Linked DNA regions of Mus musculus. The protein of the gene in region 2 interacts with the protein of the main gene of each other region in a pairwise test. Links are inferred from orthologs where the notes say so. Each region holds a gene or a part of one and is shown on either strand. Other genes may lie near its edges.

Region 1 (6,691 bases), on a different chromosome or scaffold from region 2:
GTGTGCCTACTGAGCAAAGAAAGTGATAATGAATGACACAGAAATACTAGACTGCAGCAAATCTTAGAACAGTCTCTTTAAATCACACATTGAGGCTCTGAAATGCTTTCTGGAGGCCATAGGGATGACTGTGAACACTTTACATTTCAATGTTTTTGGCTTTTTTTTTTTTTTGGAGAATTTCAAACAACATAATTTGCTCATATTCTTTGATCTTCCCTCAACTCCCCTCCCAGATCTTCCCTATCTCCCTACTCACCCAACTTCATGTTCTGTTTTCACCATGAGAACTTTGAACTAATTTGATTTGTAAATGAAAGATATCAAGTCTCTGTATAAAACACAAACAGAGCAACAATATGGACTAACAAATCAGAAAATCACATAAGTAAAATAAGTCATACTGTACAACTTATAAAAAGCTTCTATGACAACTTATAATGATGTACAATAAGCACATGCCAACAAATGACAACAGGAAGGCTCAATGGGCAGAGAGGGGGCAGTGCCCAGTGGCTAACAAACTCTACTGCAAGTCAGCACAGAAATTCGCGATTTCCAGACAGCTAAATAATAATAAGGAACCTCACTCTAAGAGAATATCAGATTTCTCAATGAGCTAATTATTGATAAAGAATAATACATATTTAGTATGCACATAATTCTAAATTATTATTTTTTTAACTTAGCTAGAATTTAGTTTAAGCTTTCATAGTGATTCTGACCTAATACAAGAGATTGGGCCATGTAGACATATAATGTGTTATTTTGAAATGTACATTTGCTTATGTCATATCCACATCACTGTTGAGAAATAAATGACCCAGCTTTAAAGTGCTTAAATAGAACATCTCAAATTGTTCAAACACCACATTGTTAAAGCTGTCACAGTTTAAGCCAATTTAACTGGGTTTGTCTATTTGTATATTCCCCCTCTGGTCAAAACTCTGATGGAGAAAGAACTTCAGTAGAGGATACACAGTCATTTTGTACAGACTGTCTACTTTGCCTAAACACTGAAAGAATACAATACACTATTCCTTATTTTTGTTTTTTTTTCTTTTTCAAGACAGTGTTTCTCTGTATAGTCCTGGCTGTCCCGAAACTCACTTTGTAGACCAGGCTGGCCTCGTACTCAGAAATCCGCCTGCCTCTGCCTCCCGAGTGCTGGGATTAAAGGCGTGCGCCACCGCACCGGCTCAATACAATATTCCTAATACTTAAGTTATGAAAAGTACTGGAAGATGACTTTTAAGGATCATGAGCTAAGATATACATGATGAGTCAGTGTAAATTCATAAAATAAAACCAGAATTCTTTTCTATTCTCTGGTCTACAGAGATCATATGTGTTAGCCAGCCTACCTTCTGTGGTTAGAATGCTTTTGGATTTCCTCTTGAAAGGTGCACAATTCTTCACTAACTTTTGCAAGTTCTTCAAGAGCCTTCATAGCATAGCACATAAAAGAGAGCTTTTGTTAGCGTGCTGAAATGCTTCTTTAGAAATAGCTCCCGGCTGACCCCATCTTACTTACTGTGTTAAGGGCGACAGAAAAATCTTTGCTCTCCTTAGAAGTGTTCTCACCAGCCCAGGTCTCACATGCCTTCCTGTCTGTGGCCAAAGGATTCCAAAACTCCACTTTGGTTTCTGTGTGTATGTTTTGTTTTGGAGACCCTTGACTTTCTTCCCCAAGGAAATTCCTTTCTGTTTTCTTTTCCTTTTCTGGATCATCTCGGTAATTCAGCACTCTTAATTTGCATTGTGCCGAGTTGAGGTGATTTGGGGGAAATTCCATTTTATCTTGATCACGGCAAAGATCAATGACCTTAGAATATTCATTCATGTTCATCTTCCTCTGAAGCTTTACTTCCTGGCAAAGCTGTAAAAATTAAAAATTAAAAACTTATTTTTCCTAATTTACTTGAGCAATGAATTCTCTTAAAGGCATTCTCACTTTGTAGCCCTGGGTAGCATAGAACAAATTCTGAAGTCCAGAGTGGCTTCAAACTCTTAAAGATCTACCTGCCTGTGTGACTTGGAAATAAAGCTGTGTGCCAGTATTCGCAGCTTTGATCAATATTCCTAATACTAAGCAAATCATTTGAGTTCTCTCTGCAATATTACAGTGTACTACCATTGGTGTTAATGCTTGTGTATATAGGCAGTGTCTCTAAAATAGGAATTAGCCAGAAAAGTTTTGGGGAACCATAAACCATAAAGACTAATTTTAGTAAGGCAATGCATGGACATTACATTCTATTTTTCTGATGAGAAATCAACTCATTGTCAAATAAAGTAAGTCTGGATCTACACAGAATGTAAAAAGTACATTCACAGAATTACACTGTGCTGTATCAATTACTGACTGTTCTCTCTAAGTGCTTTTTGGATATAACAAGAGTTTAACATTAATAAAATCATATGTTTTACTGTTACACTATTATATAGCAACATTAACTGTCTAAATAGCTGTCCATATCATACAGTAAAGCAATATATTCTCCCCTCTAACTAAGCCCTTGCTAATCATCCCCTCAGTGGGTCAACTGAATTATCAAGGTATAGATATTACAGTGATATCTTGATTGATACAATGATACAGATTCATTTTTAAAAGTTCTTTATTCTGATTAAAACAAATTCATCAGTGTTATATATGATCAAACGGAGCTCTAAAGCTTGAAACATTGACTGCCTCTGTTAAAGACAATCCCAAACTATTTCTTAAGGAGGACTTATGCAAATCAGAGGCTACTCTGTTAGCTCACCCATAAAGTGAAGAAGGAACACACATTCACCTAAGGCTTACACCTTGGACATGCTCATCATATTTCAAAACAGACAGTCAAACAACTCGAAAGCAAATGTCTCTATATTTCACAAACACAATAAATGTCTGTAATAACAATATACTTACTCAGTATTTATACATACTTTAGTTCACAGAAGCACCATACATAATTAATACATTAAGAATACATGGTGCTTTTAGTTCATAAAAGTTTTAATCACTCATCTCATTGATTAATATAAGAAAGCCACCAAACTACAATAGTAAATTGATTGTTTAGATGCTTACAAAATTATGCCTATAAATTATCTTTACTGAATTGCTATTCAACATGAGTGATATAAAGAACATCCCCCCAAAGTGCCATGATACATTTAAGGATATTATTGGTGGTGGTGTTCTCTTCTACAAATTCCTGAATAGGTTGGATATGGTGGTGCTCACCAATTCCAGCACTTGGGAATCAGACAGATCTCTGTGAGTTCAAGGCCAGCCTGGTCTTCAAAGCAAGACACAGGATAGCTATAGCTGTTACACAAAGAAACCCTGTCTTGAAAAACCGAAAGGGGAGGGGGATTTCTGAATAAATAGGAGATGGCTATATCTTCAAATCCAGGGGAAACTGTGCTATTTATGACACATGGCTTTTTATTCTGCATCTGATAACTATATTAGGTCCCAGAAAGACCCTTGACTGTACTCATCTCAGCCTTCAATTATAGCTATGGTGTAATTTACCTTATAATGTAATTTTATGCTGTTATTTCTTCTCATGGATATTTGGTCCAGAAATGGAAAAAAAAAAACCCTAGTACACAGTAAGGAGTGGAGAACTACTTGGTATAGGGGCTGATACTCAGCCCTTGTCAATAGCTAAATGACTGTTCTAACAAAGGACACAAGCAGAAAAGATACAAACAGTAAAGAGTGCAAAGTGAACAGAAAACTCTCAAGATGATATCAATTCAGTGTATCCATAATCCTAGTTCATATGTAGTTTATTCTAAGTTTCAAATGGTCTGAGGATGTACATCCTGGATTTTCAATAGCCATTGACATTCGTGGGGACATGGGCTCAGCAGAGAGGCACAGCATCGCCATGCTCACTGTTGGATACTTTCACTAAGAGATACTACAGGTGATTTTACAGGTGCATACGTGGGAATCCACACTTCTCTAGTACATGGCTCAATATCCTGAAAAAAATTAAAACCTAGAACCAATTAATTTTAAACAAAATGCTATATTTGTAAAACAATATATTTACTAAACAAAAATACTCCATTATGCTTTCAAAATTATATGATTGTGTTTTTGTTTTGTTTTGTTTTTTAGTTTTCAGAACAAGTGTCTATTTTCTTTAACCTGTGAAACTATTTCCTCTGTTTTACCAGCATTTTATCGTAGCATTACGTACTGTTGATCATTATTTACATAACCAGAGGAAGACACCCTTCTAGGATTGAGATTTTCTCTACAGACACTATGAATACTCTCAACAATGTTGTCTTAACTACAGGTAGGAAGTCCCTGGGTAAGAACAGAGGGAAGGAAGCAAGTAGAAACTGTTTTCCAATTTGTAGAGCACCACAAAGGAATCATTAATCATAGATATCTCAACTTATTTTAGAGGAAGGACGTAATAGTCCCTTTCCTTTGCTTTCTGTTTTAGTGGACCACTTTTTCACTCTGTATTTTATTCCCAACCTATTTATTTGTTGTTAGTCAGAAAAAAAGTATTTTTGCGTTACAAACATACAAAGCACTAACTTTGTTTATATGCTTTTAAAAGGGCCCAGCAATCTGTTAAATAAACCATAAAATTTAATTCTGTGTATTAAATAAAATAGAGCAAAATAAATATAGTTAACTTTCAGTTGGAGGAAGCTTGAATGCACACCCACCAAAGGAAGAAATATTTCAGAGCAAAGTATGGGCTGACTGGGAGATTATTAAGGAGAATACAATCACTGACTACATCAGAGCCATGGCATGCCTTTTTAATAACCCATTTCCCAGTAAGTGTGCTAGCATGTGAGGACCACTGTCGGTATTAATCTAATAAAATAAAAGTAGCCACTGCTGCTTTTCTATTTGGCATATGGCATACGTTTTGATGCTGCTGAATAACTTGACATCCTTTGGTATACATTACTCAGATATCATCCCAGGAAAACTCTTTATTCTAGTGCCAAGTTATAATCTTAACACTATATGTCCCACAAATTATTTCCTGCATTTTCTTCCTAGGTTCTAGTATCTGAACATTTATACAGAATATATACATTACTTTCAGTACCGTGCATCTGAATTCAGAGAATAAGAAATTTCATGTATTGTAGAATAACATTTACAAAGTCTTCATTTCCATACGAGATTATAAAATAAATGTAGTCTCAAACATACCACCGGGTGGAGTTGAGTTGAGCGAGTTTTGTTCTAGTAAATTTCATAAGACATTTATTTCTTTGGTGGAAGAAGAAACACAAAAGCACTTCCTGATATAAAATGCATGTCAGCAGGCTTCTAATTTCAAGCTTGCACTTAACACTACATTTAAAATAAATCAAGCCTTACCTCTTCGATCTTCTTCTGCATGATCTTCCACTGACTCTCCCATTCTTTTCTTTCCTTGTCAAACTGGTCCAGTAACTCCATCTTTTCCTTATGCCGGTTGGCCTCTGTGCTCCCCCTCTGCTCATGGAGGTCCGTGGCAATTGTGTGAGTGTCAGCCACAGGACTGCTGCTGCTCATCTCTGCCTTCTCTTAGCTGGTTCTTGGAAGTGTTAAACTGTTTGGTTTGAAGTGGTCTCACTTGCCTTTAAAATAAAGCCTGAGATAAACATAACAAGACAGTGTCCCAGGCTTGTGTGCTTCCTGCCAACATATCATTTTTGTCAACCGTCAATGACATAATTAAACTATAGAAGAATAACAAAAAGAAGGGAAAAGATAACAAAAATCTGATTATAAAGGAGTTTTTTAAAAAAAAAACACAGTCAATAAAGTGTCAATAAAGGGTCCTAAGACCCTTTCTTCTGTTTTGATATTAACAGGAAAATTATAGTGAACAAGCTGGCTAAGTGTACATGCATGATATAAATATCTCTTTACCTAACTGCTTAATCTAAAAATAGACTTTCTTCATAAATATTCATGAGTTTGAGTCTGATGTGCTGATTCTGTTGCCTAGATGTGCTGATTCTGTTAAAATGGAATTAACTCTTTAAGTGTCAGTACAAGTTAGTTACATATGCCTAAGATTTAAGATTGTGAGCCGGTTCAGAATAACTGAGTTCAGAGGTCAAGCCCATGTAACGTAGGAAGGATGTACCAAGACCCAAAGCAGGTAGTCACCTAGAGAGGCTCATGTCTCAGCAAGAAACTAACCTAATCTTAAATTTGAAAAGGTCATTATTTTACTTCCTGAAATAAAATCTAAAGAATCATTATTGTCCCGTGAGAATTTTAACATGTGTTAAAACTTGTTCATGACCTCTTGTTTTTCACCTGGACTATTTATGTCTACAATATCACTATAGGAAATAGTTACGGAACAATAACTATAGGAAAATGTTTTTTTTTATGTTACACTAAGTAATGACCAAAATAATGTGATTTCTAATATTCAGCATATGAATATTTAGGGTTTGAAGAGACCATTTAATATGCCAGATATGGGGGCCAGAGAGATGGGTCAGGATTTACACAGTGTTCTTAGGATTGCACAGTGTTCTTATGGGGGACCCAAGCCTGGATCTCAGGCCCTAAACTGGGTGACTTAAAACCATCTGTGACTCTAGCTTCAAGGAATCCAAAAGTTTTTTCTGAAATCTGTGGGTACCCACACTCACACATGCACATACCTCCCACCACACACACACACACACACACACACAC
Region 2 (6,691 bases):
GCAGAGGAGGCAGCGGAGAGCTTGCCGTCTGGCACGGCTGGGAGCTGCACCGGCTCAGGGATCCGGGGTGGTCTCCTAGGGAGTGGAGTAGGGTGGTGTGAGGAGGGAGGGTTCTCTGCTGAGCAGAGTTTAGGGTTGAGGAAGGGCGACTGGCGGAGGGTGAAGCTGGGTGCCAGGCGCAGCAGCGTCAAGGCGCCAGGTGCTGAGGGTGAGGGGTGGAAGAAGCAGTTGAGAACCACGAGTGGCTGGGTAGGGCTGGTTGGCATGGCCTTGAGGCCTCACCCCAGCGTGGCGGAAACAGGTGTAGCAGGCGCCTTTATGCTCTTGCGAGACAGGGTCCCGGTCCGTGACAGCTGCGTGCTCAAGTCCTGAAGGGAGAACGATAGGGTTGATTGACATCTGGGACACGGGGAGGCATTCTTACCCACATCCCTGAGAGGAAATGGGGGAGGGGAGCGGAGGGCGAGAACTGGGAGGGCTAGCCAGACTCAGCAAGTTCCTACTTCCACTTCTCAGCCCTCCTCCCGTCCTAACCCTACCCCCACCCCTTAGGCCTGCAGCAGGTCCCCCAAAGCCGTCCCACAGAAAACAACCCGCAGCACAGACGCCGTCTGAAGGCCACTTCCTCTGCACAGCCACAGTGACTGAGTTGCCCTTTGCAACCCCACACTATCTCAAATTCTCAGGGATCTGGGTGGCTTGGTGGTCCTTAGCTCTGATTTAGCTTGTACTCCAGCGCGAGCTAAGGAGCCTCACATACGGGGGGGGGGGGGACTCCTTGTTTCCCAGAAACCTATGGAAGTGACCGTCCCCAAATTCAAGGCAGAGGGATGGCAGAAGCCAAGACACTTAGGAGAGTCTCAATGATGGGGTGCAATCCCAAAGCCAAGAGACACCTCTGAAACTGGGACTTCCCCCAGCGTGAGCAGGGGAGGGGATGGTGTGGGGGAGGTCATGTTCTCTGTCACCCTGCCCCACTAGAGGCAAGACGGGAATTACAGGATAAAGGATAAGTTGGAGGCTGGGTACATAGCTCAGGATGGAGCTTCTGCTGAGTTTATAGAAGGCCTGGGTTCCACCCAGGGCACCATCAAAAGAAAAACAAAAGATAAGAAGGCTGGACAGGAAAAAGGAACGGATAGAGAGAGCTGGGAACTGAAGGAAAGAGGTATTTTCTCTCCTGGGGGTCTGGCATAGTATCAAGGGGTTAAGACCCAGGAAAGCTTCTAATCTAATCTGACATGAAGCAGTTGGGCACAGTGTGATAAGGTCCCCTCCGCCAACTCTTTTTGTTGCTGCCTCCTGTCCCTATCAGCAGCATTCTGGAGTGACTTCTTAGAGCAATGACCTCAAACCCCCAGACAGAGGAAGTCGCTATTCTCATGTGGCTGAGGAGAGGTTCTCATGCGTGCCCTGACACCCTTCCCCCTCCTCCCCCTCTTCCCCTTCTCACACACACACACACACACACACACACACACACACACACACACACACACACCACACACACGACCCACTGTGGGGTGGGAGTGGGGGGTGGGGCCGGGACAGCTTATGATCTTCCAGGAGCAGTGTCTGAGTAGAGGGAAGTTAAGGACCTAGGGAGAGTGGAGTTTAGGCCACGTGTCCTGGAGTGTGGAGAGGAAGAAGGGGATGTGAGGTCGTACAAAAGCTTGGGGAAAGGCGAGACGAGAGGGAGCTAGCTGTACGGCAGGACAGGGTGGGCAGTGGGGGGTCAGCAGGGTTTCCCTTACCTTGACTCCGTGGCCAATGTCATCCAAGCAGGCAAAGTTGAGGGGTTTTCTGTGGTAGGGAGTGAGGGAAGGCAGGCTCTCAGGAGGGATGACTTTCTGGTTAGAGGGCAGCCGCACAACAGTGGCCAAAGTGCCGATCTCCCTTCTAGCTACCTTCTCCATATGCATGTTTACCATCTGCACGACAGGGTCGGGAGGTGGGAGGAGACCGTGAGAAACAGCCTGTACAACACCATTCCCTTTAAAAGAGGGAGAAAGCTAACTAACGGGAGGCAGAGGGAGGCAGGTAGAGCTCTGTGAGTTTGAAGCCAACCTGGTCTATATGATGAGTTCTAGGCTATCCAGGGCTACATAGTGAGAACCCCCATCTCAAAGCAGGGGAGGAGGAAAGAATGGGGGTCATGGGGGGACCAGAGAGAGTCCCATGGCCATGCAGCCATTGGAGAAAGAAGAGCAGCAGAGGATGGAGCCACTTTGGAGCGACTTCCGGGTAGAAGAGAATGAAGGTTATTATTAGCTGTGCAGGAACCAGAAGAAAAGGGAGGGAAAAAAAATCCCTGGGGTTGCTGGACAGCAACCAAAGGACAGGGCAGGCTTTGGTGCAGATGGGCATTCCGTGGAGGTGGCAGAGAACTGTAACTAAATCAGCTGTCCCCTTCAGGGAACAAGTACGGGAATTAGCTTCCTCTCCAAATGTTCCCTCAGGCCTTGAGGGACGGGACCTTGGGTCTTCAGGAAGAAGAGGAAAACACACCCTATACACTGACCCCTCAGGGACCTATGGTCAGACCAAAAGAACTCCCACATGTTTTGTGGGGTCAAGGATCCAGGAAGGACGGCTGAGAGTATTTATGAGCCAAGGGTAGGTATTTATGAGCCAAGGGTGGGGACTCTGTATGGTGTTGGCACGGATTCCTGTGGGGCTGACGATGGGCTTGCCTGGCCTGCGTGGAGGGCATTTATTAATCATTGGATGTGTTCCAATGAAGACAGGGTGGCCTTTGGTCTCTCCTGCTCTCTGCAGGTACTATGAAGAGCAAACAAAGAAAGCTTTTAGAGAGAGAGAGAGAGAGAGAGAGAGAGAGAGAGGGAGAGAGAGAGAGAGAGAAACTTTGTATCTAATGGGGTAGCAAGAACAACACTGAGACACAGCCATGATAGATGTCTCCAAAGTCTGGAATGTGCCAACTTTCTGCAGTCCGGTTGGCCAGGTGGGCATGGAGAAATGTAGGGCTATTTGAGTGGGACTGAAGAGCCAGGACAGAAAGAGGGATGCCTTCCCACATCCTTACCTGGCCCAGTGTGCTCATCTTGGCTTCTACCTGCCGCAGGGCAGCACCCTGTAGATCCAGCATTCGAAGAGTATGCCCGGCCAGGTTACCCACTTGGTAGGCCACACTGGCTAGGGCCTGGGTGGTGAAAGCCATCGTCTCTTCCAGCGCCTTCCGCTTGTCTGTGGCCTGAAATACACACAGCCTTGGCCCGAGGCCAGCACATTCCACTGCTTCCTTGGCAGAGTCGGATGGAGCCAGAAGAGAATCTAAGGAAGGCCAGAGCTGAACTTGGAGAAAGCTGCGGTCCTTAGATGCCTGAGGTAGCTTTCCAGAAGGATGGTGTTGGAGTAAGTGGGGCATGGGAGGAGAGTGCAAGGAACATTGGGAAAGCAGATCGCAGCCTGAGAGAACTGGCTGTGAGAGTCGGGGCAGGAATCCTGTCCTCCAGTAGTTGAGGTGAGGCCAGAGTTGAGAGGACCCTACTGCCTCCCTCAGCAAGTGTCTCCTGGCAGGCTGGCTGGTGACAGGAAGGGGAAGGCGATGCTGGCTAGGGGAGACATTCAGCCACTTAAAACTCAACCAGCCAATAGCAGGCTCTTACCTATAAACCAAAGTCCTCAAACCAAAGTAAGGCCAGGAGAGACAGCCCCCTACTGACCTTGCACTTCCTTAGCCCCAACCCTCAGGAAGGTGTATAGGAACCGAGAGATGGGCAGCGTGTCCCAGAGCCAAATGACTTCATCCTCTCATTGCCGCTGACAGCTTTCTAACATGCTTCGCTTCTTTTCCTTCCTTCTTTTCTTTTCTTTTCTTTCTTTCTTTTTTTTTTTTTGAAACAGGGTTTCATGTAGTATAGGCTCACATTCTCTGTGTAGCCAAAGCTGGTTGGCCTTGAACTCCTGATATCCTTCTGCCTCCATCTCCTATGTGCTAGGATTAGAGGTGTGTGCCATGGCACAGTTGGCATTACTGCTGTTGCTGGTACTACTACTACTACTACTACTACTACTATGTTTTTTGAGACAGAGTAGCCTTGGCTCTCCTGGAACTCACTCTGTAGACCAGGCTGGCCTTAAACTCAGAGATCCACCTGCTTCTGCCCCCTGAATGCTGGGATCAAAGGTGTGTGACATCTCCACCCGCCCATGCACAGTTGGCTTTAAGATACTATCTTCTGCCTTACACACACATCCCTTGCTTCTCTCTAGCCACACTAGCTCCTGGCGTTCTAATCCCTAGAAGGAGAGATTGTGTTCCTACCTCAGGGCCTTGGCGCCTACACTTCTTAGAGCTCTTCTCACTAGATGGTTCCAGCGTCTCCACTTCTCTCAGTGCCCTAAGCTTTTACCCAGCTCGCATTTATGACGTATCATATTTGCCCTGTTCTTTCTTTTTCTTTTCACCCCTCCCTCATCCAAATATCAACACCCTGAAAACAGAGCTGGTCCATTCCGTTTTGCATCCTATGCTGGCATAGTCCTCAGCACACAGAAGATACTTAATACATGTGCATTTGTTGGCTGGTTGACAGGCCAAAGGAGAACCCAACACGAGGTGGGCAGCTTCCTACGGCATGCCAGACACTGGCCAGGGCCACACTGCCAGTCACTGGGAAAGGGATGACCAGAGAGTGGCTAAAGACAAAAGAGGGCTTTTTTTGGTCCCAGACCAGACCTTCAGGCCTGGGTCTCTTGCTTCACCAAACAGCTTCCTCCTTTCCCGTCAACCATGAGCACGGAAGCCTGTCCTTTTGGGTGGTGTGGGGAGGTAGAGGTGAGACCAAGGCAAATTAGAAGGGGCAGTGTACTGACAGGCAAGGCTGCACCCCTGTGGCCTCCTTGCTTGGGATTTTGTGTGCTCCATGGGCCCCACCACTGGTGCTATAAGAGTTGTATCCTCTGTGAGATTCCTCTGGGTTCCCCTCATGCAACCTGAACTAGAGAGAACCTTCTGGAAAAACCCGCGCCATGGTCCTTCCCTTCCCTGCTTTTCTGTTCTGACAGCAGGAAACCGATGTTCATTTGTGTGCTGATTTACATGTCATCTGCATATGCAATAAAATTTACATCTCATCAGCATATGCCACCCAAAATATTGGCTAAGCAGAGAAGCTAGAGAGGGCTGCAGGCTTCGCTCTAGGTCTTTGTTTCATAGGTAAGAAAACAGGCTCCCTCTGCCTGGTACCCAGCCTGGCACATGGACTTTGCAACCCAAACAAGAAAGGTGCCTGTTTGGGCCCAGCTCTGGGTTCCTCTAGCCCAGATGTTTCTAACTAACCTCTAGCTTTAAACTTGTCCCAAAGTCAGGTCTGGAGGAGCAAGGGCCTGAGATCCTTCACCTAAGCTGTCATGCAAATGACCCTGTTTTTACGCTCAGTCAACCCTGACCTATGCTGACCCATCTGCCTCCTGCATGGGCTTCTGACACTTAGTTGGGGAAAGATGGGACAGAGACTTTATTAAAGACATCACCCCAAATTTTTCCTCTGTAGACAGTCAGGGATGGCTAGGGGCCAGAACTCTACACAAAAGAATCCAGGGATTCCAACCTGGGTCTCGGGGCTTCCGATACCCTGAGTGTGTTTGCAAAGGCTGTCACCTGGATAGAATGGGACTTTATCACTAGCACGTGCCTTTTATCCTTCTGAAATGGTAATAGAAGCCACAGCAGATACACTTATTTATTCTGCCCTTCTTAAAGGATGATGGGCCCTGGGCAAATGGTTTAACACACTGTTCCAATTAGTACTTGTAACCAGCCTAGAGAAGGTATAGAGTTTAATTGGAACCCCATCCCACCCCCAAATGGTAGCACAGGCCTGGAATAGTCTTTGGGGGGATTTGGGGGGAAGCTGGGCAGGTCATAAATTCAAGGCCAGCCTGAGCTACAGAGTGGCAATATTGGAAGGAAGGATGGAAAAAAGAAAGAAGGAAAGAAAGAAAGAGAGAGAGAGAAAGACAGAAAGAAAGAGAGAAAGAGAGAGAGAGAGAAAGAAAGAAAGAAAGAAAGAAAGGAAGGAAGGAAGGAAGGAAGAAAGGAAGGAAGGAAGAGAGAGAGAGAAAGACCCCTCAATGGGAAACATACTACACATTTCTACGTAAATAGGTGGCAGACCTGGTGACTCAGCTTTGTGACTTCAGATCCTGCGTGCACACAAATTACACATGTGGGATTGCACCCACTAGCAGCACTTTGAGGTGTGGGAAGACACCGATGGAACGGAAAGGCCTATTTCCATCCCTGCCAGGGAAGGAGAATGCCTAAGTGCAGGGCAGGCAGGACTGGTAATAAACCACATGTCAGATCATCAGGCTGGTCACTCAGTGTCACACACACACACATACACACACACACACACTGGAATGACACTCAAGGTAGCACTGGGCACAGGAGTCAGAATCCTAGCTGCTCTTTGATTTGGGATTTTGCTTTGCTGAGTTTGGTTTATTGGAGGTAGCATCTTGCTATTTAATCCTGACTGGCTTGGACTCACTTATGCAGACTAGAAAACAGGTAGAACTTTCTAAGATCCCTCTGCCATAGCCTCCCAAGTACTGGGATTACAGGTATGGGCCACCACAACCATCTATAGTTCCGAGTTCGAATCCTGTCTTGGTGACTACCTTGGAGGAATCAGGAAATACAGTCCCTTTCCAAAGGGCA
Region 3 (6,454 bases), on a different chromosome or scaffold from region 2:
AGGTCAGGCTGGGTTTGGTGGCACACGCCTTGAATCCCAGAATTCTGCAGGCAGAGGCAAGTGGATCCAGCATGGTCTACTCAGAGAGTTCCAGAACAACCAGGGCTACATAATAGTGAGACCCTGTCTTAAAACAACAACAACGGGACTAGCGAGATGGCTCAGTGGGTAAGAACACTGACTGCTCTTCCGAAGGTCCTGAGTTCAAATCTCAGCAACCATATGGTGGCTCACAACCTCCCATAAATGATGCCCTCTGGTGTGTCTGAAGTCAGCTACAGTGTATTTATGTATAATAATAAATAAATCTTAAAAAACAACAACAACAAATGTTAATGGAGTTGCACACACTGATGCATTTGTATAATTTCAGAACTCAGAAGGTTGAGGTAAGAGGATCATGAATTTGAGACCAGGCTAGCTTATGCATAATGAGTTCCAGGCTAGTCTGGGCTACATACTCAGACCCTGTCTTTTAAAAAAAAAATAGAAAGAAAAAAGAAAAGGGACTGGAGAGATGGCTCAGCAGTTTAGAGAACTGACTGCTCTTCCAGAGGTCCTGAGTTCAATTCCCAACAACCACGTGGTGGCTCACAACCAACTGTAATGTGATCTGATACCCTCTTCTGGTGTGTCTGAAGACAGCTACAGTGTACTCTTATACATAAAATAAATAAATAAACCTTTAAAAATAAAAATAAAAGCACCTGCCTCTGAGCCTAACAACCTTAGTTTAATCCTCAGGCCTCATAAGGTAGAAGGAGAGAAACCCCACACACATGTCAGATGCACATGTGCACCAATATACACACAGACACAAAACCAACAAATAAATATGAAAGTACGCATGAGCCAGGCGTGGTGGTGCATGCCTTTAATCCCAGCACTCAGTAGGCAGAGGCAGGTAGATTTCTGAGTTCGAGGCCAGCCTGGTCTTCAAAGTGAGTTCCAGGACAGCCAGGGCTACACAGAGAAACCCTGTCTCGAAAAACCGAGAGAGAGAGAGAGAGAGAGAGAGAGAGAGAGAGAGAGAGAGAGAGGGAGAGGGAGAGGGAGAGAGAGAGAGAGAGAGAGAGAGAGAGAGAGAGAGAGAAGAAAGTACAAAGTACACATGGTTAGGGATGTGGCTCAGTGGTTAGACAGTTTAAGAAGCATTAGTCCGGGCAGTGGTGGCCCACGCCTTTAATCCCAGCACTTGGGAGGCAGAGGCAGGCAGATTTCTGAGTTCGAGGACAGCCTGGTCTACAGAGTGAGTTCCAGGATAGCATTAGGTTCGGTTCCCAGCACCACAGAAACTTGGAGTGGTGTTGCACACCTGTCATCCCAGCCCCGGGGAGGTGGAATCTCGAAGCTCCGAAGCTCAATATCATGTAGTTTGTGCTGCAGGAGACCTTGCCTCACATAACAACCACATGTTCTTAGTCTGAACATTCATTCTAACTCCTTTGTTGCTAAATATGGCAGGTTTAAACATCAGCAATACTTGGGTAATTTATTACTGTTTCTTGGTGCATTTATGCTAATACTGCCAGTTCAGAATGAAGCTAATGAGAATACTGTCAAATGACATTTGTTAGAATATCATCACACAATGAATTCACATTAGTCTTGCAGACAAACTTAGGTTAATATTAATATTATTGTGAAGTTGGAGTTAATGACATTATTGGGTACCTGCTCTCAACCTATTGGAACTAGGTCAAGATTAGTATTATCCCCACATCCCGGGTTAATGACAATATAATTGGCACAGTCAGTTCTTAACATCGTAGAAAGGCTAGGCTAGTGTCTGACAGCACACACAGAGCATATGGAGTGATACAAAGATTAGCATGGCCCCTGTACAACGATGATGTGGACATTCATGACGCATCATTACATACCTTTGCCCCAAAATGACTAATTATATTAGCATACCATGAGTTGATGTGCTTCTGTGAATTATTGGATTTAATGGTAATGTGATTGCCAAAGATGGAGGTTCATCTTTTTAAAGTTATGTCATTATTCATTTGTGTGTGGGTCCATGTGTGAATGTGGAGGTCAGAGGATAACTTGCAGGAACCGATTCTCTACTTCCACCATATGAATGCTGGATGTCACTCAAACTCACGTCATCCAGCTTGGCAGCAGGTGCCTTTTAGTCATCCCTTAAACACTTTGATTTGTTTTGAGACAGGGTCTCCATATGTAGCCTTAGCTACCCTGGAACTCTCTATGTAGATGAAGCTGGTCTTGAACTCAGAGAGACTCACCTGTTTCTGCCTCCCAAGTGCTGGGGCTAAAGACATGTACCACCATACCACCTCAGCTAAGATGGAGTTGTTATTTTTTTAAGTTTATCATTTTATGCATCAGTGTTTGCTTGCATGTACATTTGTGCCTCGAGTATGTGCCTGGTGGCTGTGGGGGCCAGAAGACACTGCCAGATCCCTTGGAACAAGAGTTTAAAGATAGTTTTGAGCTACCATCTGGGCTGTGGGAATTGAACCCATGTCCTCTGGAATAGCAGCCAGTGCTTTTAACCAAAGATGGAGTGCTTTATAACAGAATTTTCACGTGATGAGCTAATGCTGTCTACCAGTTTCCTCTGAGATGAAGATTGAAGTATTCCATCCGCTTAAGCCCGAAGGTAAACAACTCAAAATGGCTTCAGTAAGCCTCTGGAACTGACCAGATTCACCAGGCCCCTTCCTCTCAGAATAAGCAATAAAGACTACTGTGAGTCACTCTCAAGACATGCCAACCACAAAGAAGACCAGACCAGCTGCCTGGAAGAGGTTTAGACCAGAGTCACTTGGGAAAGACACTTCCCAGCCTGTTATCAGCCTGCAGGCTCCAGGCTCCTAGCTTTTATGAGCTGTCACCCATGCTGTGTTGGGCTTTGGTGATACAGTTGTCTTGAATCACATCTGTTCCTGTAAATAACCCCTCACCCATATTCCTGTAAGTGACCCCAATAAAACTCATTGATTCACCACGTTGGACTTCGGTGGTACTTCGCTCTGTCATGGGCTCCCTATTTAGGGTAAGAAAAGTCTTGTCACGCAACTAATGATCACTGAACGTATGTGGTTAATGTTCATACTGTGGGAATACCCTGGCATATGTTAATATTACTGCCAAAGATCCACTCCACTTAATTATAATACTGCTGCCTGACGACTTTATATATATATATATTCACCACATACATGGGCCTCCTAGTGTCACCAATAAGAACAATACCTGGAGCTGTTTGCAAGCCACTTCTAGCTAGCCCTGGGAGTCAGGTCACAATTCTGGCACAGCAGGCTCACCTGAGGAATGGATGACTCTACTCCTCTTCTGCATGACATGCATCAGGGCACCTACTAGGCCTTCTGACTGCTGCGCGGGTGGTTGCTGTACTGAGTTCTCTAGAGCTCCAGGGGTCTGCAGCAAGAGATTGGCGCACAGAGGAGGGCTCAGGACTGGGAGAAGAGCACTTCTCCTGCCCTTTCTTCATTTCTTCTCTCACACACTCCAGTCTCTTTCAAGGGACCACACCGATCTCCAATTTATCACTGGATTCCCCCAAAACCCAGAATCTCAACCATGGTCCACAATTTTCTGACTTACACAGATCCCCCGTTATCTATCCTGCCCATCTTTACCTTGTTCAGCTGAATTCCCTGCCGGATTTGGTCCAAAAGTGCACCCCGGCCCCCACCAGGTGCTGGGCTCCCCCCAGACACTGGAGTAGGAGGGAGCGGGGGAGGGGCGGGCCCACTCCCAGGGCAGGGTGGAGGTGGTGGTGGTGGTGGTGGTGGTGGCGGTGCTGGTGGTCCCCCAGCTCCAGGGAGTGGAGGAGGTGGTGGTCCAGATCGTCCAGTGGCTGGAGGGGGTGGTGGAGGAGGACCCCCTCGGCCTGGTGGTGGGGGCCCTCGTGGTGTTGGTGGAGGTGGGGCACCCCCCATAGGTACAGGGGGCAGTGGACCTGAGCGACCCTTATTACTCCCCACAACAGGAGGTCTCAGAGGCTGGCCTCCTCCTCCTCCTCCTCCTCCTCCTCCTCCTCCTCCTCCTCCTCCTCCTCCTCTGCATGGCGGCGGAGGTGGTGGGAGTGGCTCTGCAGAGGGGTAAAATGACATTTATGTGTGCATTAAGTTTTGAGGTTCACTTTTTTGTTTTTCGAGACAGTGTTTCTCTGTATAACCCTGGCTGTCCTGGAACTCACTTTGTAGACCAGGCTGACCTCGAACTCAGAAATCCGCCTGCCTCTGCCTCCCAGGTGCTGGGATTAAAGGCATGCGCCACCACGCCCGGCTTGAGCTTCATTTTTTTCTTACACATTTCTAGGATAACAACCTTCAGGACCAGAGAAGAAGGTGCTTACCTTGGCGCCTCATCTCCTGCCGGACAGCCTCTAGACCTCCCTGGTCCTCAATAAAATCGTAGATGAGCTTGGAGGTCTCTGCGTCAGTGAGCTGGGCCTCGCTGATTCCTGCCCTGGAGAACAAGCTCCGCAGATCCGGGTCTAGGTTGTTCACCTGCTCCAGCGGGAACCAAAGGGCAGAGCAGAGTTAAAAGCAGAAAGTGAATTAGGAAGGGGTACAGATTATCACCATAGCCAGAACAGCCAAGTATCCAAGAGGGCTATGGGAAGGGCTCGGTCTGGATATGGGCTCTGAGCCTTGGTCAATGGGAGAGTATGTGGAAGTTGGGTGGGGCTCGGGGGGGGGGCGTCTTTGGAGCTACTCACATCAAATCCATTCTGGGGATCCCAGCCCACGTGGCTGACATGTCTAGAGAAGGGAAAGGGATGGCAATCAAGCCCCAGGGTCCTCTTTACCCCTTGTCCTCTCCTTCCCAGAGGGCCTCCAAAAAGCCAGAGCAAGTGAGCGAATATTTTGGTTACCATTCATCTGTCAGACCATGGCTTGGCCATGTCCCTGTCCCTCCGCCCATCTGCTCAAATTTTACAAATTTGCCCACCAATTTCTCTTTTCATCTTTGCCTACCCATCTACTCCCATATTTACTTTTTTCCTTCCTCCCTGCTGCTCTTTCCTCTTCCTCTTCCTCTTCCTCCTCCTCCTCCCCTCCTCCACTTTCTTTCTCATCTGTGGGCTGTTTTCTTTTTTTAAAAGACTTATTTATTTTATGTATATGAGCACACTGTAGCTGTCTTCAGACACACCCGAAGAGGGCATCAGATCCCATTACAGATGGTTGTGAGCCACCATGAACCCTTGTCCATAATGCTTCTTTCTCAAAGGTGCTGAGATTACAGGAGTGCCCCACCACACTTGGCAATCCATTTGCATTTTTACATGTTCTCTCCACATGTGTGTTAACTCATCATACGCTATCCATTCACCCACTTGACTGTCCAGTTTATCTATCCCTGCATAATCTATCTGTATCGTCATCCACTCACCCACCCATCTACCTACCCACTCCTACCAATCACCTGCGCGTTCATTCTTCAGCCCATTAATTAATTCTTCCCATTCACCCATCTGCCTGTGTTTCCCTCTGCTCAGCTCAGATGCTTTCCCACCCATTGGGATCCTACGGGAAGAAGTTCTCACTTGAATCCACTCGGTGCTCCGATATCAGCTTTGCTGATCTTCTTTTTCCCTGAGCGTTTCTTATCAGTTGGGCCAGGGCCAGGTGCAGGGAGCCCACGGTATCGTGAACTTGTGATGTCAGGGTTCTGAATGTCGACCGTCACAAGTCCTAGAGATAGTGGACCACCTGATGGGCCTGTGGAAAAATGGTGAATGAACCACTGGCCAACGCACTTACTAGCCGAAGCCCAGGGGCAAGAAATAGAAAGCTCATTGGAGAAGTTTGTGGATATGTTTGATGGACATGGAGGAAACAGATGAGAGAGGTCTAAACAAGGCCTACAGAGCGGTGGATGGATCCCAAAAAAACACTGAAAGAGTCACCAATTCATGTGTCTTTACCATTCAAGTACTGACTCATCCATTCTCTGGCTGGTTGGCTAAAAAGCTTATTAAGTTATTCATTCATTCACACCTAATCATTTGATCTTCCTTGGATAGAATATTCTCTCATCCCACTTTTGTGATTGAATTCTTTAAATGTATATTATGTGTGTGTGCGTGCAAGGCACATGTGTGGAGGTCAGAGGACAACTTTGTGGAATTGTTTCTTTCCTATCTTTATGTGGATTCTGGGGCTAGAACGATGGTGTCTAGGCTTGGTGGCAAGCGCTGTTCCATCTCAGCGGCCCTCTTTGTCCACTGTTCATCTGTTTACATGCCCATTCATGAATTCTCTGAACCACCTATTCATTACTTAAATGCAAGTAAGTTTTCATCCATTTACCCAAATACTCATGTACCTATTTATCTATAAGCCATCATCAGTCCATCTCCCAATTTAGCCATGTCTGCCACCAATCTATCACCGTGCTCATCTGTCCACCCACCATCCACCTCTTTATGAATTTACAGACAGAC
Region 4 (6,691 bases), on a different chromosome or scaffold from region 2:
GCTATTTTGGAATCGCACAATTTTAAAATAATCTAGTATGAATGTGTAAAATATAAATGTGATATACCTTAAATGTTAAATACTACACATTCTCAGTTATTCTTTAAAAAAAAAAGTGTTTAAAAACTATGTAACCTTTATTTACTTATTTAAATCTCACCTCACTGGCAAAAACGTTCAAATGGACTACAGTTAATCATAGTCATTATATTTACAAGCTAACTAGATATTTGGTTGACAAACCTATTTTTCCACAAACCAATGCATTCCTACACTTACTGGTTTTCATACTGAAAGAAAAACAGATTATAAAAAAAAAAGCTAAAATAGTTAGCAAGCTAAAATGAAGTAAATTTAAATACAAATATTTACTTTTGGAAAAGAAATACTATCAATTACCTGATGTTGCTGTGTTTCCACTCTGAAAAAGTGAACCTCCCAAACCAGCTAAGGCTCCCCCTAAAGAAAGCCCAGTTGATGCTGTTGTAGTTGTGGCTGGTGTTGCTCCCAAGTTATTCAAAGTAAATCCTGTGGATGCTGAAAGTAAAAGACAGAGAAAGAAATGAATAGCCTTCACACAGAAATAGTACTTTAAAACACCACAGGGAGGGGCTGGAGAAATGGCTCAGAAGTTAAGAGCACTGATTCCAGGTCCTGAGTTCAATTCCCAGCACCCACATGATGGCTCACCATATAATGGGATCTGATGCCCTCTTCTGGTGTATCTAAAGAGAGGGACAGTGAACTCACATAAAGTAAATAAATAAATCTTTTAAAAAACAAAAACAACAGAAACAATAGGAGTACATTCTCAAAACTAGAATTCAGACACATCTGAAACTATATGCTCAAAAAACTTTTGGAAATACTCAGAATAAAGAGTAATAGTAGTGAAGAGTAATAGTAGTTTCAAAGCAGAAACTAGTGACCCTATTTCCCCCTCATCCAACAAAATAGCTTTGAGAGCTATTACAATGGCACCCAGTAACTAACTCTAAACAACAATATAGTTTTTAATCCCAGCCAACAATTCTGCCTTTAAAAGTAAATGAATCATGAACTAGGTAAGTACAAACATCTTTACACTTTCTGCCAATCTCTTAACAATCTCTTAAAAACAGACAATAAAAACATCTCTACCCTTTGACTCTGTTTATTATGTAAGTAGTAGAGACCATATTTCAAGATAGTCATAACAGCTTTAATAGCCAATGCTAACTTATTTTTCCAGATAAAGTCTTGTTACCTAGCCAATCCTTGCCTTAAACTCAAGTTCCCCCTGTGGCTCCCTCCCAAATCACAGGTGTGGACCACTAAACCTGACTGAAAAGGCAATAGATCAGTAGGACAAAATCAATAACTAATTCAAATAAATTTCCCAAAGTATAGTTGTGCTTTTAAAAGTGTTTATGCTTGTACAGCAAAACAATTTACCTACTGAACCATCTCCCCACCCCTGAGTTGTTTAATTTAAATGGTTACTGGGTATTCGCTCGCTAACTGGAAAAAACTTTACTATAACCAACAAATTCAACTTTCTTCCCATTCTGTCTCACCTGCTGGAGTTGATGTCAGAGCAGATGAGAGAGTAAGACCACTAGCTGAGGTAGAAGTGACAGGCAGGGCAAATGGTGTGGCAGATGCCGCAGGTTTACTGAATCCTAAACTGAAGCCTGTTGTAGACGCAGATGTTGTTGCTGCTGTTCCTGTTTAAAAAAAAATCTCATTTTTATCTTAATCATACAGATATTATGCTGGTCTTCATGAGTATTTTATGTCTGGGATCCTTTTCTCTATCTACCCTAAGTAGAATAGAGATACACAAGTCAGGACTAAATTATGGTGAATATAAAACCTTCGGGTTAAGAAAAAGAACTAAAAGATGGGTGTGGTGGTTCACACCTTTGATCGCAATACTCAGGAGGCAGAGCCAGGCAATCTCTGAATGCTAAGCCAACCTGGTATCCTGGTATATAAGTTCCAAAACAGTCAGAGCAACACAGTGAGACCCTGTCTCAGAAAGCGGAGGGGGGTGGGGATTGGTTGCGGGGCTAGCAACCAAAGAAAAATGCAAAAACAACCACTCTAATACTGTGATCAATTTCAATTCCCCCCCCCCCCCCAGGCTTTCGTACAGTAGCACTTATTCCCTCCACCTGCTTTGCTCTCAACAGAAAAATAGCCCCTCCTGTCCCACCCAGACCTTACTCCTGGAAATCCTCTTCCTCTGGACTCCAGTACCAAGCCCTCTCCTCACTCCTCCTTTTCAGGCTTTGCCTGTACATCTCCTTCCTGCATTGCTCCCAGAGTTCTGCTGCTGCTTACACCACTGATCTCTCCAGTTTCATCATTCCAACCACAGCTACAGGAATCTAACCCTAACTGGCACCAGCTTCTTTGGTTTACTAGGGCAGTATCTCACTAAGTATCCACAGCAATACTACTGTGTTAGCCTCCCTACTACTGAAAGCACAGCATGCACTACCACACCCTTCCATGAGCCTGAATCTATGCCTACCTGAATCCCTACTGGTTGGTGGATCTTGATGTCCCTTTGAGTCATGCATCTAACCACAACACAAAAGCCAGCTAATACCCTCACCAGTCAATTCAATCACTCAAGGCAGAAACTCTGACACATTGTCCTTCTTTTGCATTGCTTTAGTTCCAAATCTTATTAATTTTATCTCAAAAATATTGTTAGATTACTGGCACCCTGGAAAACATTATAGGTAGTTTTGGATGTGGATTTATGTTCATTACATTTTTAGGTCTATGACTCCTTAGAGGAAAAAAGACTATGTGACAGTCTTAGAAGCAAACCCTGGTTGTCTCTGAAAAGTTGTAAGATGTTAACAGTTCTGTCCTCGAAGTGAAACTTTTAGTTATCTATAACATCACAGAATTATGGGGCTGGGAGCACAGCTCTCAGTGGAAGACCACTTGCCTTTATTTCTGTGAGGTTTTTTTGGTTTTTTGTTGTTGTTGTTGTTGTTGTTTTGTTTTGTTTTTTTAAGTAAGTTTTTTTCGTTTTTTTAAAGATTTATTTATTATTATATGTAAGTACACTGTAGCTGTCTTCAGACACACCAAAAGAGGGCATCAGATCTCATTATGGATGGCTGTGAGCCACCATGTGGTTGCTGGGATTTGAACTCAGGACCTTTGGAAGAACAATCAGTGTTCTTAACCACTGAGCCATCCAGCCCCTGTCTGTGAGGTTTAATCCTTGTCTCTGGTTAATTTTTTTTTTAAGGCAACTAGTGAAAGTTTTGGTTCCACATCCAAAACTACCTATGTTTAAAATACATCTCTAACTTACAAAGGCATGACATTGAAGCATTCAGTTTTTATATACCCAAATACTGAAAGGCTTTGAAAAAACCATTATGTGGGATCTATACAAAGTTCTTTATAATTATTCTTTCTCCTACACTGAAATAGTACAAGAGGAGAAAATCCACAATTCATTAGAAAAGCAGTTTGTTCTCTTCTCAAAAATTCTTACTTAGAATTAACTTTATAGCTGTAGCTGCTATTCTCAGTGACAACAAAAGACAAACTGAATGATCAATGAAGATGGTTTCCTTCTAGATTCCACTTTCAGAGAATAATATACTTGTAATAAGACTGATATATGATTATAGTAACAAACACAAGCATTTTCCCTGAGAATAAAAAAGATATTTGAAGTACTAAAGCTATAAGGTACTATCATCCAAAAAGCTACCACTCAAATGTGTGCCAGAAACTAAAGAACTATACTTTCTACCTATTTTAATATCAAAATTTACAACATATTGGTAAACTGCCTTAAGCATCTTTACTAATGAAAAATACTGTAGTATATAATTTAAAAAAACCATCTTGATTCACGTTTACAACTTTCAAATGCTTCTCTGGAGCGGCTCCTTCACCAATACAAACATCCAATTCCAGAGATGCAGTGATGACTTTTAAAATAAAGACAGAAGATGGAGACTGTCACAGAGAAAGGAGCTTCAGGCTTCAGTTGAGGAAATGCCTCCATGAGATCCAGCTGTAAGGCATCTTCTCAATTAGTGATCAAGGGGGAAAGACCCCTTGTGGGTGGGACCATCTCTGGGCTGGTAGTCTTGGTTCTATAAGAGAGCAGGCTGAGCAAGCCAGGGGAAGCAAGCCAGTAAAGAACATCCCTCCATGGCCTCTGCATCAGCTCCTGCTCCCTGACCTGCTTGAGTTCCAGTCCTGACTTCCTTTGGTTAGGAAAAGCAACATGGACTTGCTTCTTGGTCACGATGTTTGTGCAGGAACAGAAACCCTGACTAAGACAGAAACCAAGAAAGAAATATCTCATTTACCCTAAGAACAAGACCATTCTCCTTACCTGCACTTGTTCCTCCTAGAGTAAATCCAGTGGCAGGCTTAGATCCAAAGAGGCCTGTTCCAAAACCACCAGCTGAAGCAGATGTAGATGCTGGGGTCACAGAGCTTCCAAGAGATCCAAAGTTGAGTCCCACAGAAGGTGTGCTTGTTTAGAGAAACAAACAAAAAAAAAAAAAAAAAAGAGAGAGAGAGAGAGAAAAAAGAAAAAAAAGTCTGCTATGGCTAATATTTACTTTGAAAAATTTAAAAAAAAGAAATTAACTGTTTAAAATTGTTTTCTCTCATAAAATCTATGACCCAAAAGACATTGAAAGAAATACGCCTAACAAATTCAAACACCTTCCTTTTCTCCTTAAAAATAAATATAAATATACATTTCATCTTAAATAATTTGTACTGAACCTGTTAGCTATTTGGGAGGCAAAGGAATCACACCTTCTTGGCCCGTGTGGACTACACAGTGCATTCACGGGCAGCCTGGGAAATTTAATAAGACCACACCTCAAAATTTAAGGAAAAGTGTGGCCTGAGACATAGTGCAGCAGTAGCCCTTGCTTAGCAAGTGCACATTTCAAACTTCACTACTACAAAAGCAAGGAACACAACAAGGCTGGGAAAGCACTCTACTGCAATTAGGATGTCAGATCACAAGACTACAGTAGACATCAGCAAGGAACACAATGCTCTCAATCTCAAGTCTTCACTCGACCCCTAGCATATTTTAAATGGCCACAGATGACTGTTTTTCCTTTGAACTACTTGAGAACAGTCCACACTTCTAATTACAATAGTTCAACAATGACTCACATAAAAAGACATGCATACGTTACTCTAGGTAGGTTACTGCTGCTCCTTTACTGCTACAGTAAGTATCATGTCCTCTGTAAAGACTGTGTGTTGAGCTAGAGAATGGCTCAGCAGTTAAGAGCACTGACTGTTCTTCCAAAAGTCCTGAGTTCAAATCCCAGCAACCACATGGTGGCTCACAACCATCTGTAATGAGATCTGACGCCCTCTTCTGGCGTTTCTGAAGACAGCTACAGTGTACTTACATATAATATAAATAAATCTTTTAAAAAAAAAATAGACTGTATGTTTACAGAAGAAACTCTTTACATAGCTTCTGGAAACCTAAATAAAGGACAGCTGGAGCCGGGCAGTTGTGGCGTCTTTAATCCCAGCACTAGGGAAGCAGAGGCAGGTGGATTTCTGAGTTTGAGGCCAGCCTGGTCTACAAAGTGAGTTCCAGAACAGCCAGGGCTACACAGAGAAACCCTGTCTCGAACAACCAAAAAAAAAAAAAAAAGCTGTTCATCTCAACCATTAGAGGTCAAAGTTTGCTACCTATAGGGGGAAAGATTATAAAAATAACCAACAAGTTTCAAGAATTTGATACCTCAAAAATCACATAGGAAAATTAATAGAACATAAAACACAATGGGAACTCTTACTTCTCATGTTACGTATTTATTACTTCCAATTCTGTTTCTTCTGAAAGCCAAAATCACAACAAGTACGGTGGCATGCCTATAATCCCAGTTATTCAGGAAATTACAAATTTCAAGTTTGCCTGGACAACTTAATGAGACAGTCTCAAATTAAAAAAGAAAAAGGCATCTAGAATTGGTGGCACAGGTCTGTAATATATGCTACTTAAGTAGTGGGATTGTCAAATCAAGGCCTACCCAAGCTTCAAGTGAGTTCTAGGTCAACTTGGACTTCTGAGTCTGCCATGAAATAAACGTAGAAAGGAACAATGGGGTACAGTTCCACAGGACAGCACTTCCACCTTGTAAGACCTTCATTCAATGCAGCATAATACTTGTTTTAAAACATTGAAAAAGAGGCTGGGCATGGCTCAGGGATGAAGGCTTGTCTACCAAATACACAGGCGCGCGCGCACACACACACACACACACACACACACACACACACGAGAGAGAGAGAGAGAGAGAGAGAGAGAGAGAGAGAGAGATGAGAGAGAGAGCAAGCGAGAGAGCGCGTGCACTCAAGCGAGCATGGGCAAGCACACCAACCACCTGCAAGGTGATGGAGAGATAGCTCCGATTTAAAAAAACAACCAATTGCTAGCTAAAATTAAGACAACCACAGTCCTGGTCAGAATATCATGCTGCTTAGGTCCAGGAACTATCAACCCCACAGTCAGCCAGAAGAGTCATTCAGTCTTCTGCACACCCTAGGAACCCAAGAGGGGAAAGCTGCAATTTAAACACTTAAAACGAATACTTTCAATAGGAAGGCAAGTAGCAGACGATGTCTAGTAAGCAGAGTGTCACAGTGACAAAGGAGCTTCTTAAAGAACTAG

What was found. The genes of interacting proteins can lie anywhere in the genome.
Region 1: the proteins of Abi3 (region 2) and 9330159F19Rik interact in binary tests that used the Homo sapiens proteins (3 or more experiments, as listed by UniProt). The two-hybrid records come from large-scale screens. The link is inferred for Mus musculus from reciprocal best matches to the Homo sapiens genes ABI3 and KIAA0408.
Region 3: the proteins of Abi3 (region 2) and Was interact in binary tests that used the Homo sapiens proteins (3 or more experiments, as listed by UniProt). The two-hybrid records come from large-scale screens. The link is inferred for Mus musculus from reciprocal best matches to the Homo sapiens genes ABI3 and WAS.
Region 4: the proteins of Abi3 (region 2) and Nupl1 interact in binary tests that used the Homo sapiens proteins (3 or more experiments, as listed by UniProt). The two-hybrid records come from large-scale screens. The link is inferred for Mus musculus from reciprocal best matches to the Homo sapiens genes ABI3 and NUP58.

Annotation. Positions count from the first base shown.
Region 1 is NC_000076.6:29,216,974-29,223,664, reverse strand, and holds part of 9330159F19Rik (uncharacterized protein KIAA0408 homolog), read right to left. Parts: intron 5,713-6,691; exon of another isoform or gene 5,611-5,712; 5' UTR 5,546-5,610; coding exon 5,369-5,545; intron 1,880-5,368; coding exon 1,535-1,879; intron 1,445-1,534; coding exon 1,365-1,444; intron 1-1,364.
Region 2 is NC_000077.6:95,834,024-95,840,714, forward strand, and holds part of Abi3 (ABI gene family member 3), read right to left. Parts: exon of another isoform or gene 3,389-6,691; coding exon of another isoform or gene 3,215-3,388; coding exon 3,047-3,214; intron 1,932-3,046; coding exon 1,755-1,931; intron 369-1,754; coding exon 283-368; intron 76-282; coding exon 1-75. UniProt on the Homo sapiens protein: May inhibit tumor metastasis. In vitro, reduces cell motility.
Region 3 is NC_000086.7:8,082,207-8,088,660, forward strand, and holds part of Was (wiskott-Aldrich syndrome protein homolog), read right to left. Parts: intron 5,730-6,454; coding exon 5,555-5,729; intron 4,767-5,554; coding exon 4,724-4,766; intron 4,512-4,723; coding exon 4,358-4,511; intron 4,091-4,357; coding exon 3,636-4,090; intron 3,415-3,635; coding exon 3,300-3,414; intron 1-3,299. UniProt on the Homo sapiens protein: Effector protein for Rho-type GTPases that regulates actin filament reorganization via its interaction with the Arp2/3 complex. Important for efficient actin polymerization. Possible regulator of lymphocyte and platelet function.
Region 4 is NC_000080.6:60,242,958-60,249,648, forward strand, and holds part of Nupl1 (nucleoporin p58/p45), read right to left. Parts: intron 4,510-6,691; coding exon 4,367-4,509; intron 1,707-4,366; coding exon 1,557-1,706; intron 538-1,556; coding exon 400-537; intron 1-399. UniProt on the Homo sapiens protein: Component of the nuclear pore complex, a complex required for the trafficking across the nuclear membrane.